Linked DNA regions of Oryzias latipes. The protein of the gene in region 3 interacts with the protein of the main gene of each other region in a pairwise test. Links are inferred from orthologs where the notes say so. Each region holds a gene or a part of one and is shown on either strand. Other genes may lie near its edges.

What was found.
Region 1: the proteins of nme7 (region 3) and fkbp6 interact in binary tests that used the Homo sapiens proteins (3 or more experiments, as listed by UniProt). The two-hybrid records come from large-scale screens. The link is inferred for Oryzias latipes from reciprocal best matches to the Homo sapiens genes NME7 and FKBP6.
Region 2: the proteins of nme7 (region 3) and coiled-coil alpha-helical rod protein 1 interact in binary tests that used the Homo sapiens proteins (3 or more experiments, as listed by UniProt). The link is inferred for Oryzias latipes from reciprocal best matches to the Homo sapiens genes NME7 and CCHCR1.
Region 4: the proteins of nme7 (region 3) and telomere zinc finger-associated protein interact in binary tests that used the Homo sapiens proteins (3 or more experiments, as listed by UniProt). The two-hybrid records come from large-scale screens. The link is inferred for Oryzias latipes from reciprocal best matches to the Homo sapiens genes NME7 and ZBTB48.

What each region holds. Positions count from the first base shown.
Region 1 is NC_019882.2:22,096,902-22,100,589, forward strand, and holds part of fkbp6 (inactive peptidyl-prolyl cis-trans isomerase FKBP6), read right to left. Parts: coding exon 3,595-3,688; intron 3,493-3,594; coding exon 3,373-3,492; intron 1-3,372. UniProt on the Homo sapiens protein: Has an essential role in spermatogenesis. It is required to repress transposable elements and prevent their mobilization, which is essential for the germline integrity.
Region 2 is NC_019872.2:16,061,952-16,065,303, reverse strand, and holds the end of coiled-coil alpha-helical rod protein 1, read right to left. Parts: intron 2,769-3,352; coding exon 2,667-2,768; intron 2,501-2,666; coding exon 2,355-2,500; intron 2,278-2,354; coding exon 2,175-2,277; intron 2,092-2,174; coding exon 1,946-2,091; 3' UTR 575-1,945; downstream 1-574. UniProt on the Homo sapiens protein: May be a regulator of keratinocyte proliferation or differentiation.
Region 3 is NC_019862.2:27,538,141-27,541,828, reverse strand, and holds part of nme7 (nucleoside diphosphate kinase 7), read left to right. Parts: intron 1-1,508; coding exon 1,509-1,619; intron 1,620-3,688. UniProt on the Homo sapiens protein: Possesses an intrinsic kinase activity. Displays 3'-5' exonuclease activity with a preference for single-stranded DNA. Does not seem to have nucleoside diphosphate kinase activity.
Region 4 is NC_019865.2:24,218,281-24,221,662, forward strand, and holds the end of telomere zinc finger-associated protein, read right to left. Parts: coding exon 3,351-3,382; intron 3,264-3,350; coding exon 3,175-3,263; intron 1,179-3,174; coding exon 978-1,178; 3' UTR 633-977; downstream 1-632. UniProt on the Homo sapiens protein: Plays a critical role in transcriptional regulation and chromatin remodeling. Acts as a regulator of telomere length. Directly binds the telomeric double-stranded 5'-TTAGGG-3' repeat.

The DNA.
Region 1 (3,688 bases), on a different chromosome or scaffold from region 3:
ATTTAGTTTAATTGTGTCTGTTGGCCACTTCACCTTCATCCTGTTTCTTAGATGCTGTTATTACTTCTTCTTAAGTTATTAGAAAAGTGTTTCAGTTAGAAAGATGACTTGGACTAAACTCTGGGATGTTTGGCTGTTAAGAAACACAAACCTGGAAGGAGAACTAAACTGTTGACCTCTGATTTCATCAAGAAGATTTCAAAACTGATGTGTGTTCGTTGTGGTTTAAGACGTTTGACAGGGAAGACTCATTGTAGCGCAAAGATGCTGTCACTTTAACCCAATGCATCATGGAAGTGTAGAAGAGTAGTGCCAACTCCCGCAAATGGTGCTTCAAGGTTTTGTTCACTTGTTCCACGGTCTGACACCGGATTCTGTGGAAAGCTACTTAGCTGGTATTTTTGTTGGAACTGAGAGACTTTATGAGCAGAATCAGAACAAGGAAGTGAAGACTTTAACCACTTCTGATTGGTCAGACTGATGACGTCTGAATAAGCCTCCAAGAATGATTGGTGGAGACAGTTAAAGGGGCGGGACTTTTCCAAATAAACAGAGCTGAAGCTGTGGCTAAATCACGGTACCATCATTCTTAACAAAGTGTCTTTAATAGAATCAAAAAAACAAAGAAAAAAGTATTTTATCATCTTTCATATTCCTAAATACTCAGTGTTTTATCAGGGCCTGTTTGGATGAACACAGAGCTGATATCCTGGAGATGGAAATGTTTTTAGATCAGTGAAAATGGGAAATCTCCCACGGCACACCTGGGGGGTCTTCCAGAAAGCAGGTTATGCTAGCTACCACAGAAGCTGTCATTTGCCAATTTAAAAAGGGAAATTTTGCAGGGAAGATGCATTAATATGCGAGTTCAGGGGGAAAACTTTCACTTTTGCTCAAATTAAGTTTATATCCTGATAACTTTAACAGTAGTGTTTGAAAAACCGGAATGACTGAGGATATGACTTCCGCCGAGCGGCTATATACATTGACATGTCAGCTCCGTAATATACGAGACGATCTTCTAAACGTGCTTTTAATAATGTTACGATTATTATGAAGCACCTGTTCGCCTGTTTTATTTTTAATCCGTGTGTTCAGCGCTTTTTCTGTTGAAGAGCGGAGCCGGAAAGAAGCCACAATTAGTAGCATGCTAACACGGGCTAACAGCATTAGCTTTGGGTGGCGCTGCTATCTGCATCCTGGCTGCACGTAAACGTGGGAATAACATCAGCCTTTATTTTGTCGGGACGCGACTGGAAACACAAATCTACGTGATTGTTTGAACGGTTTCTAAGGACTGAGCGACATTTCTGCTTTGAAGCTCACACCGCCGCTGTGTGTGTGTGTGTGCTGACGATCCGAGCTGTGCTCAAAGACACACACTTTTAGACCCGGTTCTGAGTTCGGTACCCCGTTCCCCTAGAGCTGCGGGACGGATCGCAGTCCTAAATCTCCCACACACACCGCTCATGTAACATAGCACCCCCCCCCCCCCCCTTCCCATCAAACACAAAGCTGTAAATCTGCGCTCCATCCGTCCACTTGACTAGTTAAGTGCGGGAACGGACTAATTCTTTTCTATTTTGTTTGTTCTTTTTTTTTGTTAAAGTCACTTCCCTCAGTTTATACTGGATCATCGCGGATGAGTCATTATTTGGGAAATAAAATAAATAAAGTAATAAACTAAAATAACGAATAGCAATTATGTAAGACAGAAAAATTAAAAACAGCGCCCCCCCCCCACGACGATATCATCGTCCATCCCGATGGTTGACAGCAAACATCGTCAACAGCCAATTTAAGGGACATCGCCCAACCTTAGTCCACATTTAGCAGGCTTATGGGTTGGTAGGAGGAGCAAGAGAGGGGGCCTTTTTCCTTCTTCAAAATCAGAGAAATAATGACTTGATTAAGTGTCTGAGGTAGCATCCCCTTAGAGTATGCCTCATTATACATGTCTAATAACAGCGGAGCTAACTTATCCATGAACTTCTGAAGGATAGCCATCAGGGCCTGGACATTTACCTGCTTGGAGAGACAGAATTGCCGTGTTAATTTCCGACAATGAAATGGTCCTGCCCAAATTATTGGCATCTTCCTGATCGACGGTAGGAATTCTCAATGTTGAAAAAAAAAATAGCCAAAGTCCACATCTGTTGGTGTAGCCTCAGACATGTATAATGTTTCGTAAAATTCTTTAAAGGTTTGGTTAATCTGAGAAGGCTCTGTAGTAATACCCCAAGGGGTTAGAATTTTTTAGATTTGCTGCAAGGCTGAAACCCGTCTAATTTGGTGTGCCAAAAGTTTGCTTGCTTTATCTTCATGTTCAAAAACTGGGTACTGGACTGAAGCATTAGCTCAGTAGTACGATATGTCATAAGGGTGTCAAATTCAGCTTGAAGAGAGAGAGACCCTCTTTATAAATATTTGGAGAAGGGGAGACTGCATTCATAGCATTCCAGCTGTAATATTTGCTGTCTCGAGTCATTCAGTTTGTCACGCCTCAGTTTTTGTTCATAGTGAATATAAAAGATTATCTCCCCTCTAATAAAAGCCTTGAAGGATTGCTCTGCTCGAACTCTTTGACTATTCCCGCCCGCATATTTTCCATCATTCCCTCCATGCGTGCTAGCATACGATCGCTAGCATCCGAGGCGGGGTCGATGGGCAGCTCAGGTGAGGCTGGAGGTTTGTTGCGGCCTGATTTCCCCATCTCAGATTTCCCTCAAGATGTTGTGATTCAGACGAATTTTCGGAGCGGAAAAAGCAAGACCTGGCGCCGTGCAAGTGACTAAAAAAAGGTGTAAAATATGAACACGTCTCACATGTTCAATGATCCACAGCGCCCCCGTGTTTATTCTTTTCAGTGTAATTTTATTTCTTTGTTGCTATTTTGCAGGCTCTGTTTGCTGCTTTAGCTGGTGGATCTGCTGGCTGTCATTTTACAGCAGCAAAGTCAGGGTTTGCGCCGCGGACTCATTGCCGTGACGTTGTGCTACTGTGGACTTTATAGTTTTGGACTCCAACCGGAGGCCGGACGACAAAAAGGCATTGATGGCTACTAATGTTAAAGGATGTTGCCAATGAACGTCAGGACTTTGCACTGAGCCTGGGAGTCAGCCGTTGAACTTGTGGGTGGGGTTATATCTGGGCCCTGGTGAGACCGAATACATTCTCATGGTGGTATTTTAGGATGTCTGTGTTCATTTGTCTTTCAGCAGTAGAGTTGTTTGTTTTTATTGTTTTCTAGTGGAAACCATTTTACCACATAAGCAAGACTGCACTAACAATTCTTGGGGTCCAATACCCAGGCCCCACACACAGACATGTGGCCCTCAGCAGGTCAGAAGACAAAAAACTGCAACAGCTTGCCTGTTTGTAGCTGCCTTTAGCCCGGTAATGTTGGCTACAGCTGAAGTAGTGGTTGCCAAGGCTGCGCAGAGTGTTGGTCACCTCAAGAAGCTCAGACAGAGGAACTGAGCTCTGCTCCTCCTGAGGACCAAAGACACGAGAAACAAACCTCAATTAAGAGAAATAACACATTGAAACTGATGTGTTATTCATGACTCCTCCCACCCTTCCACACATACTGACCGGACTCATGGCGAAAAACTCCTCCACTTGTCCCGAGTCAAAATAATCCACAATCTGAACCTCGTACAGAACCACAGCAGCTGCAGGGATGAGG
Region 2 (3,352 bases), on a different chromosome or scaffold from region 3:
AGGAGACTCATCCTGCAAGGATGATGCTTTGTTTCATTTCAGTGAAAGGAAGTCACAGCAAGCCTTTGATTTTTTTTTTTTTTAATTCTAAAACAAAAACTCTTCTGTTTTATTCAAATTCAAATTAATTGTATTTATAAAGCACATTTCATGTAAAAAAATATAAAACAGCTCAAGGTGCTGCACATAAAAACAAACAAGAATACAGAAACCCCCAATCCCTATTCTTGCAAAAAAAAAGAAAAAGACGCCCCACACAATAAAATACACATCTAATATATTCACACTCCACGTTAAGGTAAGGCATTTAATAATCACAAATCTGCTTGTAAAAATGTCATCTGGTTTTGGTCAAAACTCTGAGTTTCAAAATTATTTTTTGTGCATTGACTCACATATATTTGATATCACTGGATCACTCACAATTAGGAAAAGTTGAGGAGACAGGGGGAAAAAAAAACACCTGATGATAACCAGAGACTGCAGCAAAAGACTTTTGGGCTTGTCCCGGTACTCTGTGATAAGACCCAATGAACTTGACAAGCAGGAGGGGAAACTGGGTCTCACAACAATGCTGCACAGTCAATCGCAGTAAACAGGCCAGTGAAGCCAGAAAGGTAGAGCTGACTGAAGATCACTCCCAGGTGTGTGATTAATTTTTGCAATATTTAGTTTTCATAACTTTTCAGAACTACTTAGCTCTAAATAGTAAAACACAACCAGTTTTTTTCTTTCTTTTTTTTTTACTTTATTCATTAGATTTTTCTCCTGATTTAGTCAATTTTTCACCATGTCTTAAATCAATAATATTAGAATATAGTCTACACCTTTTTATCCTCTTATTCATACAAAACCTTTTCAACCTAGATGATTAACGTTATTAGTTAATTTTTGTTTCCTCCTTTCAAGAGGGCTGTTCGCTTTGAGCTCAGCTTTGACAACACTGCCCTCTGTTGGTCATTCTGTGCACTTGCAAGGTGCTGCAGAGAAAAATGCAAGACAAGCTACCATCAGCCTTCAATATTCAAAAGAAATTCACCAACATCACAACCAAAAGATGCAAATAAACTTAAATAATAATTAAAAAGAACCAAAAAAATATAAAAATGGGTTTCAGGTGTGTCAACAGGACGTGACCTAAATTTAGGCTTCGAACTTCTGTAATTTTTTATTGAATTTCACTAGGGTCTCTTAGACCATATGCAGTAAAAGTAAGATTTTTAGAACAGTAAAGCTGAATCAGTTACTGACCAGTTTAAAATGATGAATCACTTCTCCGGCGGTCAGAGAGCTTAGAGTAAAGACGATTTTATTAGTGGGTATATTTACACTTCATCAAGACTATTAAATTGTTACCTAAAGGGCCTAAAACTTTGAACTTTTTCTGAATTTATCAGCACTGGTGACAGCATGACAAATAGCACAATTACCTGCTTCGTCATGGTGTTTATCCTCATTGCTCTTATGACTGCTCTATAAAGGAGTGTCAAATAGAAAATATAGATTTTTTACAGTAGAAAATCTTTACCAATGTGCCTAAATGTAATTTGAAAAAAAAAGGCTTTGTGTGTGACGAGAAAACACTTGGAGGCAACTCCCAAAAGCATTTTGCAGGAAATCCTTACTTTAGCTGAACGGCAAAATTAAAGTAGGAAACGAGACTGTCCTTTAAATAACCCAAATACATTTTAAAAAGTAGTAAAATAATAAAGAAATAGTACATTATTGAAGATTATCTGTTTGTGCCCCACTATTCACGAGTGTTTGTATACTTTCCTGAGTTCTTATTGATTTTAATTTAAAAAGTCACAATAACTAATAGATTATGTAAAATATTATAATTTTTATTTAGTCAACATGAAAGTGATTCCAGCCTTTATGGCTCAACTTAATGGAGTAAAAATAGGGTTATTTTTTTATATTTCTAATCAGTAGTTAAACTTCTTCAGTTCTTCATGTCTTGACTGTCCAGAAGGTCAGCAGAAGTCTTCCTGTCGTCACTTCTGAGTTCTTCCTCTGAAGAGTCTTCAGAGCTGTTTACTACAGCAGCGCTAAGCGTGTGGAGCTCCTCCAAAACACTCAGGAGTCTCTCTTGGAGAAAACAGAGTTAGCCCTGTGTGAATGTTAGGGTCTAAAATATTGGTTACGATTAGATTAAGGATATTTCTCAGCACCTGCAGGAAGGTGGACCTCTGCTTCAACAGAAGTCCTCTTCTCTGAAGGAGTTTCTCGACTCTGTGCGTGTTCTGCCATCGGGGCCTCTTTAGAGGCCATGACCTAAAGCACAGTCACGTTAAAAGACACACACACACACATTTCTTGTATAGCGTTTTTGTTTTAAAGTCTGTTCTTACATGTAGAAACTTTTTGCTCCCCTCCATCTCCTTTACATGTTTATTCAGGACATTTTGTTTTGTGTTTTCACCCCCCCAGTTTGGAGTTTCTGTTATCTCATCGTGTTGTCTTGCTGCCTGTCTCTGAAACTGCAGCAAAGTCATAACTGCAACAGACAAAACAGACACATCAGAAGCCACAGGGACATGATCTTCCATCACACGGCTAATATACTGTGCAAACAGATTCGACCATATTAAATTACAGTCTGCATCAGTAATAAACCTCGGCGCTCTGACGTGGAGCTGCGACAGGCAGCGACGAGGATCTACCTGCTCTGGTGTGCTCTCTGCGGGCTGCATGCAGCTGGAGCTCAAGCTCTTTCGTTTTCTCAGCGTGCGCAGCCTCAATCGCAGACACTCGTTCCTGCAGGGCTGGAGGAGAAGAACAAATGCACCTCAGGGGATGAACTCAACTTCAGTGCATCAATGGATCAATTCTCCTTTCCAGGGCAACATAATGAAACAGCACAAAGGAACGAGTAAAAGACACTTCTGATCACTTTTTTTTTTTTAAAGGAAAAAAAGTTGTGTTTTTGCAGCCTCTTTTCCCCGTTGAGGTTTTTTCTGTCTGTTTACCAAAGTGTTGGGTGTAATTCTTTCTTCCTCTCTCCTTTGCTGCCTGGCAGGTTCTCAGGCTGTACACCTGCCTGCAATCATTCATCTCATCAACTCAGCAGTGTGTCATGCCAAAATCATAATCCACTCATCAATTGTTTGTTGCTCCAACTAATGTGGATGCCTGCATGCCGACCTGCCAGTCAGACATCCTCTTCAGCCCTCTGCCTTCAACCAACACAATCCTAAATGATTCAGAGAATCAGCACTTCAGCTTTCCTTCCCTCTATATCTGGGTTTTAGTCTCCACAGTTGGATGGTTTTGTGGTATTTTTCTTCACTTTTTTTCCTTTTTAGGTACTATTTTTTGTAAAAAAAAAAAAATAATAATAATAATAATA
Region 3 (3,688 bases):
AAGAGTCTGACTGCAGAGGGAAAGAAACTGTTCTTGTGTCTGGAGGTTCTGGTCCTGATGGACCTTAGCCTCCTGCCTGAAGGGAGTAGTTTCAGTAGGGAATGTCCAGGGTGGGAAGGGTCGGCAGCTATCCGGCCTGCACGTCCCCGGGTTCTGGAGACATATAGTTCCTGGACAGATGGGAGGCTGCAGCCGATCACCTTCTCTGCTGAGCGCACAATACGCTGTAGCCTGTTAATGTCCCTGGTTGTGGCACTAGTGTACCACACGGTGATGGAGGAGGTGAGGATGGACTCAATGATGGCCGTGTAGAACTGCACCATCATCTGGGCCGGCAGCCGGGCTTTCTTCAACTGCCGCAGGAAGTACATCCTCTGCTGGGCCTTTTTGAGGAGAGAGCAGATGGATGGCTCCCACTTGAGGTCCTGCGTGATGGTGGTGCAGAGGAAACGCACAGAGTCCACTAGGTTGATAGGAGAGTCTGACAGGGTGAGAGGGGGTGAGGGGGGTGTGACTCTCCTGAAGTCCACGATCATCTCCACTGTCTTCTGGGTGTTCAGCTCCAGGTTGTTGATGCTGCACCACGACCCCAGCCAGTCCACCTCCCTCCTATAGGCAGACTCATCATCATTAGAGATGAGTCCGATGAGGGTGGTGTCATCTGCAAACTTGATCAGTTTGACAGAGTCATGGCTGGAGGTGCAGCAGTTAGTGTACAGGGAGAAGAGCAGAGGGGAAAGTACACAGCCCTGTGGAGTTCCTGTGCTGATGCATTGGGTGGTGGAGACATTCTTCCCCAGCCGCACACACTGCCTCCGGTCCATTAGGAAGTCAGTGATCCACCTGCAGGTGGAGTCAGGCACGTTGAGCTGGAGGAGCTTTTCCTGGAGCAGAGAGGGGAGGATGGTATTGAACGCAGAGCTGAAGTCCACGAACAGAATCCTAGCATAGGTTCCCGGGGAGTCCAGGTGCTGCAGGATGAAGTGTAGGGCCTGGTTGATGGCATCGTCTACAGACCTATTGGCTCTGTAGGCGAACTGCAGAGGGTCCAGGAGGGGGGAGGTGAAGGATTTGAGGTGGGGGAGGACCAGACGCTCGAATGACTTCATGACTACAGACGTGAGTGCCACAGGCCTGTAGTCATTGAGGCCAGTTATGCGGGGGTTCTTGGGGACAGGGGGACAAAAAATGTGTTTAGCGGACCAAAGGTATTGTCATACGCATGGATATAGTTTACTGTAAAAGGCTTAAGCATAGCGAGATGTCGGCCCTTTAAAAGCTGCACATACCAGTGTTGTGGTGGCAGCATTATGGCGAGGGTTCAAAGCTAATGGAAGGATTAAAACACGCAAATCAGAAAGGTGAACATCATCTCCACAGGACGCTGAAGTAAAGTTATGTCAAAGGTTTCTTTCATCTTTCCCCTCATTTTGTGAGTTCTTGAAGAAGACTATGTGACGGTGCTGTGATGTTTTCTCTGAAGCTGTTTTCTGTCTCCGTCTGTGCAGAACTCTCGCTCTGATAAAGCCAGATGTTGTGACTAAGATCGGGGATGTGATGGAATTGGTTTACTCCTCCAACCTGATCGTGACCAAAGCTAAGATGACCAGACTTTCATGGTGAGATCACGATGACCCTCCAGATGTGCTGGAGCAACCTGTCAGACATTTACTGACATGATTCTTTGGATGTAGAAAAACAACAGTGGACTGAACTTTAGGAAACTAAAATGTGAATGGATTTGACATTCATTCTGTTTACTTGTTTGTTTGTACACATATTTCATTTACACTTGATTATCTTGCAAGAAATACAAGGAATCTGGAAAACGTCACCTGAACTTTTCAGTACCAGGTATTTATCTATGAGTCACACTGGTTGAATATGTTCTGGATCCGTTTTGGGTCAGTGAATCGGTTCCAATCGGATTCTTTCAAAATGAACCTGTCATGATTTGATTTTGTTGTCTTGTTTTTGGTCCTTGTTCTGTCTTGTTTCTGTTTCCTGTTTTATTTTGAAAGTCTCCTGTCTTGTCTGGTTTCTTGAGTTTTACTTCCTTTGGTTCCCATTCAGCCCTGATCGTGTCCACCTGTGTCTTGTCTGCCCTGTCTGTATATAAGTCTTGTCCCTGCCTTCCTCCTGTGTTGGTCCAGTACCCCTGTTATGGTGTTCATGCCTTGTTCCTTGTCCCTCGCCATGCCACAGTAAGTTTTAGTTTTGTTTTGTCATCCTGCTCTGCAGCGCTTTTTGTTACTATTAAACCCCTTGCCCTTGAACCACGTGCCCCTGCCTCTGCATTCTGGGTCCTACCGGCTCTCGAGCCCCCCTGCACCTTGACAGAATGGACCAACCAAATTTTCTGGACCCAGCAGAGCAGGACTAAACTGGGAGCCGTCTCGCCATGAGGGGGGGTCGACGTCGCCGTCGTCCCCGCCGTCCCCCACAGTCACGTTCAGTGGTGGTCCGGGATGCACCACAGCCACGTTCAGTGGTGGTCCCGGATGCACCACAACCTCCCCCAGTGGTGGTCCCGGACGCACCACAGCCATGTCCAGTGGTGGTCCCGGACGCACCCCAACCCGTCCCGGCTCCCAGGGGGGTGCCGCCTGCACCCCGACCCATCCCAGCTCCCAGGGGGGTGCCGCCTGCGCCCCGACCCGTCCCGGCTCCCAGGGGGGTGCCGCCTGCGCCCCGATGGGTCCCCGGTTCCACTGCCACGCCTGACCCGCCTGAGCTCGGCTCCACGCCTGACCCGCCTGAGCTCGGCTCCACGCCTGACCCGCCTGAGCTCGGCTCCACGCCTGACCCGCCAGAGCTTGACTGCTGGCCCGACCCACCGGAGCCTGACTGCTGGCCCGACCCGCCGGAGCCTGACTGCTGGCCCGACCCGCCGGAGCCTGACTGCTGGCCCGACCCGCCGGAGCCTGACTGCTGGCCCGACCCGCCGGAGCCTGACTGCTGGCCCGACCCGCCGGAGCCTGACTGCTGGCCCGACCCGCCGGAGCCTGACTGCTGGCCCGACCCGCCGGAGCCTGACTGCTGGCCCGACCCGCCGGAGCCTGACTGCTGGCCCGACCCGCCGGAGCCTGACTCCATGCCTGACTCCATGCCTGACTCCATGCCTGACTCCACGCCTGACTCCACGCCTGACTCCACGCCTGACTCCACGCCTGACTCCACGCCTGACTCCACGCCTGACTCCACGCCTGACTCCACGCCTGACTCCACGCCTGACTCCACGCCTGACTCCACGCCTGACTCCACGCCTGACTCCACCACGCCTGACGACTCCACCACGCCTGACGACTCCCCCACGCCTGACGACTCCACCACGCCTGACGACTCCACCACGTCTGACGACTCCACCACGCCTGACGACTCCACCACGCCTGACCTGCCTCGCCGGACCGCACGGCCCCCCGGCCGTCCTCCGGACCTGCCTCGCCGGACCGCTCGGCCCCCGGCCGTCCTCCGGACCTGCCTCGCCGGACGGCGCGGACCCCCGGCCGTTCTCCGGACTCTTGTGCCCGTCGAGGTTTATCCTCCGGGGCCCCCCCCTCATGTGACTTTTGGAACCTCGGAGCGGTTCCTTGAGGGGGGGGTACTGTCATGATTTGATTTTGTTGTCTTGTTTTTGGTCCTTGTTCTGTCTTGTTTCTGTTTCCTGTTTTATTTTGAAAGTCTCCTG
Region 4 (3,382 bases), on a different chromosome or scaffold from region 3:
AAAATTATGTTGAATAAACTTCATTCAATTACCCTTTACCAATTGAAGTGGTTCCATTAAGTTGGATCAACTTGTTTCTTTTTAGAGTGTGAGCAAAACCCCCAGAACCACACGGGGGGACCTGGTCAATGACCTCCAGAGAGTTAGCAGCAAAGCAACAAAGGCCACTATCCATAACACAGGACGCCGCCACACCTCCTCAAAACTGTAATCACCCGAATAACTTGTCGAATGAGGAAGGACGGCAGCTCGGGGACAGCTTCCAGATGATCGGGGGTCAGTCAAAGAAAGAGGACCCAAGAGAGAGCCGGTCCCACGGCCAAGCCCAGGTCCCCGCCCCTAAGCACTGCCCCAGCAAGAGCTCAAGTCAGGTGCAGATGGAACCGAGGCAGTTGACTAGTCATGAATTTCTATTGAACTCCTGCCATTCTGCACAAACTACGTCCTACACAACGATACAGGTTTATTGATTTGGCCTAAAATCTGCATGATCCTAAGTAAAGACTACTGGGAACGATTTGACAACAGATCAAAAGATGATCGGAGTGAGACTTCTATGCATTTTACAGCGTAGGCTTATGTAGTTTTCAACCTCAAATATTGTCAGTTCTTATTCAAAAAAAAGTCCAAGATGATGAAGAGTGGTGAACTTTAATTATCTGCTGTAGTTACATTAATTACATTTCATGCAGGATCCTACTTCAGCGTGCATTTCTTCTGTTTAGAATTCTTTGTCTAAACATTAGCAGACTCTCTTTTTTTCAGATTTCAGGTCAGTTGGATAACATTGTGTTAGGGATCAATATCTCTAATATCAAGCACAAATCCTACTGAGAAAAAGATGGAAATGTCAGGTGTTTAGAAGAGTCTTCTTTATAACCGTGTCCTCCCAAAGCCTGGTGGTCCAGCAGACTTAACTACAGACAGGCTTCCTGCATCCTCAGCTTGTCCGGTTTTCTGGTTACCGACTACTTCCACTATTCCACTGTCACGATACGAATGGAGCCCAGGTCGGACAGTAGGTCTGTGGAGTCTGAGGAGGCATCAATGACATTCGGGGCTTCACCAGGATTTGCGGCTTCCCCTTCATCCTGGATGATGACGTTCCTCAGCTTCCTCTGCCGTGGGTTGTAGTTCTCCGTGCGTTTGTGAATTTGGCTGTGGCGTCTCAGGTGAGCCTGGAGTAGAAGACGGAAGACAGGGGTGATTCCTGAAAGACAAGCTGCTTTTACAGCATCTTCACAAATCCCTCATAGTTGAAAACAAACAGTTTGGAATTAAAGAAAATAAGTTTTCCTCGTTGACTGTATACGAGAACTGGACTGAGTGTGACGTCACAGAAAGTGCAATTTTTTGACTATACAGATGTCACCGTGTTATAGCCAGACGACGTCAGTAGGCAGTGATTGGTTGGTCTGAGTCATTCTTTCTATAGCAACCATTCTCGCCAATCGAGTGAGCTTGTTGGAAGTCCACACCCCTACTTAAAGTGGAATTGATATAATCTGGCATTTAACGTTTTGAATGTACAACGTGAGACCACATGCTTTTATTGAGGCTTCTGACTTCATATATAGCAGGTTATAAAAAGAAAACAGAGCAAGAAATGGTGATTCTGAGAAATAGATTGACTGAGTAACAGCTGTTTATTTCTCTACAGAAGTCTGGGAGTTTAGCTTCTTGAAGCCAGAGGGTACTTCCTGTTTGGAATACCAGGGGGGAGGAGTCACTCAGTCCAGTTCTTATACACTCAATGGTTGCAACACGCGTCTTTAAACATAAAAACTTAATTTTATTTAATTAAGTAACTAAATTGCTTCCACAGGGAAAAAGATATCAGAAAAGCAGTGCAGAACAAATTATTATTTTTGTTTATTAAGTTACAAAGAAAAATGATTCCTAGTTATTTACTCTTTATGCTTTATTCTTGTTTAAAATCAGTCACAATTTAGTTTTTTTCCTGCGTTTCTTAAATTTTCTGTGATGCAGAATCTAAATCTTGAAAGGCGCTGGCGACAGCTCAGAAAGATGGACACGTGTCACATCCATTTGTGTTGGGTTTTTCCTTCCATGTCTGAAAAATGACAAATTTGCTGACAAACAGTTGGTTGATCAGTTGCTGAAGCACAAACACTGTGGCAGTGGTGGAACCAACAATGTAATGGTCAAAACTAAATCCATTGTCTAGGCCCCAACCAGTCGGATTTTGATCTTAACTATAAAACTAAAACATTTTTATATTCCCAAAACTTCTTCCCTCATGAAATGATCTGGGATATGAACGTGTTTCAGCTGCACTGCATGTGTGTTTCCATCTGTTCTGAAGTTTGCCTGTTTTTATATCAGGATGAACACGGACAGATCAAGCACCTCATGGTTACACTCTTTCACATACCTTAAGAAGGAAGGAGAATGTTTTGTCCTCTCAAACAGTTATTGTTCTAGAAATTGGCTCCCTCTTAAGTCTCTGAACTGATTGCATTTACACCGATTGAGGCTGAACTCAAATGGAACAAGGACTAACAAAAACTAAACCAATAAGAAATTTAAACATTTTTATTAACAGATTATCCGAATGACATGGCTCTTACACCTACCACTCGCTTTGGTTCGCTTTTTTGACTTTTTGGTCCACTCAACAGTATATTTGCATTCACACTGTAGTTATCTGCACCAGGATTCACTTGCAAGGTCGGGGTTCACTTTTGATGTGGTCCAGAGTTCACATAACCTTTGGTAAGCACCAGGGTTCAGATACGTTTTTAAACCTCCTAAATGAACCCGACCCCAGAGTAAAGTAATTCTGGTGCAGTAAAAATACCCCCCCCCCCCCCCTCCGATTGCACTAATTTCAACCTTTGCAAAACTTCATAAAGCCTTGTAGCCTTCGTGGCCAACAAAGTTTAAATCCCACATGGGGTGTGACATATGTCAGTACGTCAAAACTTTTTCTTCTCCCATCAATCATTTTCCGATTTCTGACAGTATGAGAAAAAAAATTTCTATCGACTAAAACCAGAGATTTACTAAATTCTAAAAACGTACATTTTGCCTGTTTCTCCATATTTTCTCTGATTATACAGTATTTTTCAATTTTAAGAAAACATGTTAAAACAACAAAATCTATTTGGTGTTTTGTATCTAATTTTTCTGAAGTGTTGCGTTTGCACTAACCTGCCGAGTGAACTTGTAGCCACAATCGCTGCACTCAAAGTTCCTCACCCCTTTGTGACGTCGCAGATGGACACGCATCTGCTCCTTTGCTGGAAAAAGGAAAGAAAAAAAAACAGCTTGCAGTTTCTTTTGCGCCAACAGAGATCTGTGTTTGTGACCAGGTCAGCATGCCTCACCTTTGAAAGTTTTCCCACAGATGTGGCAGCAG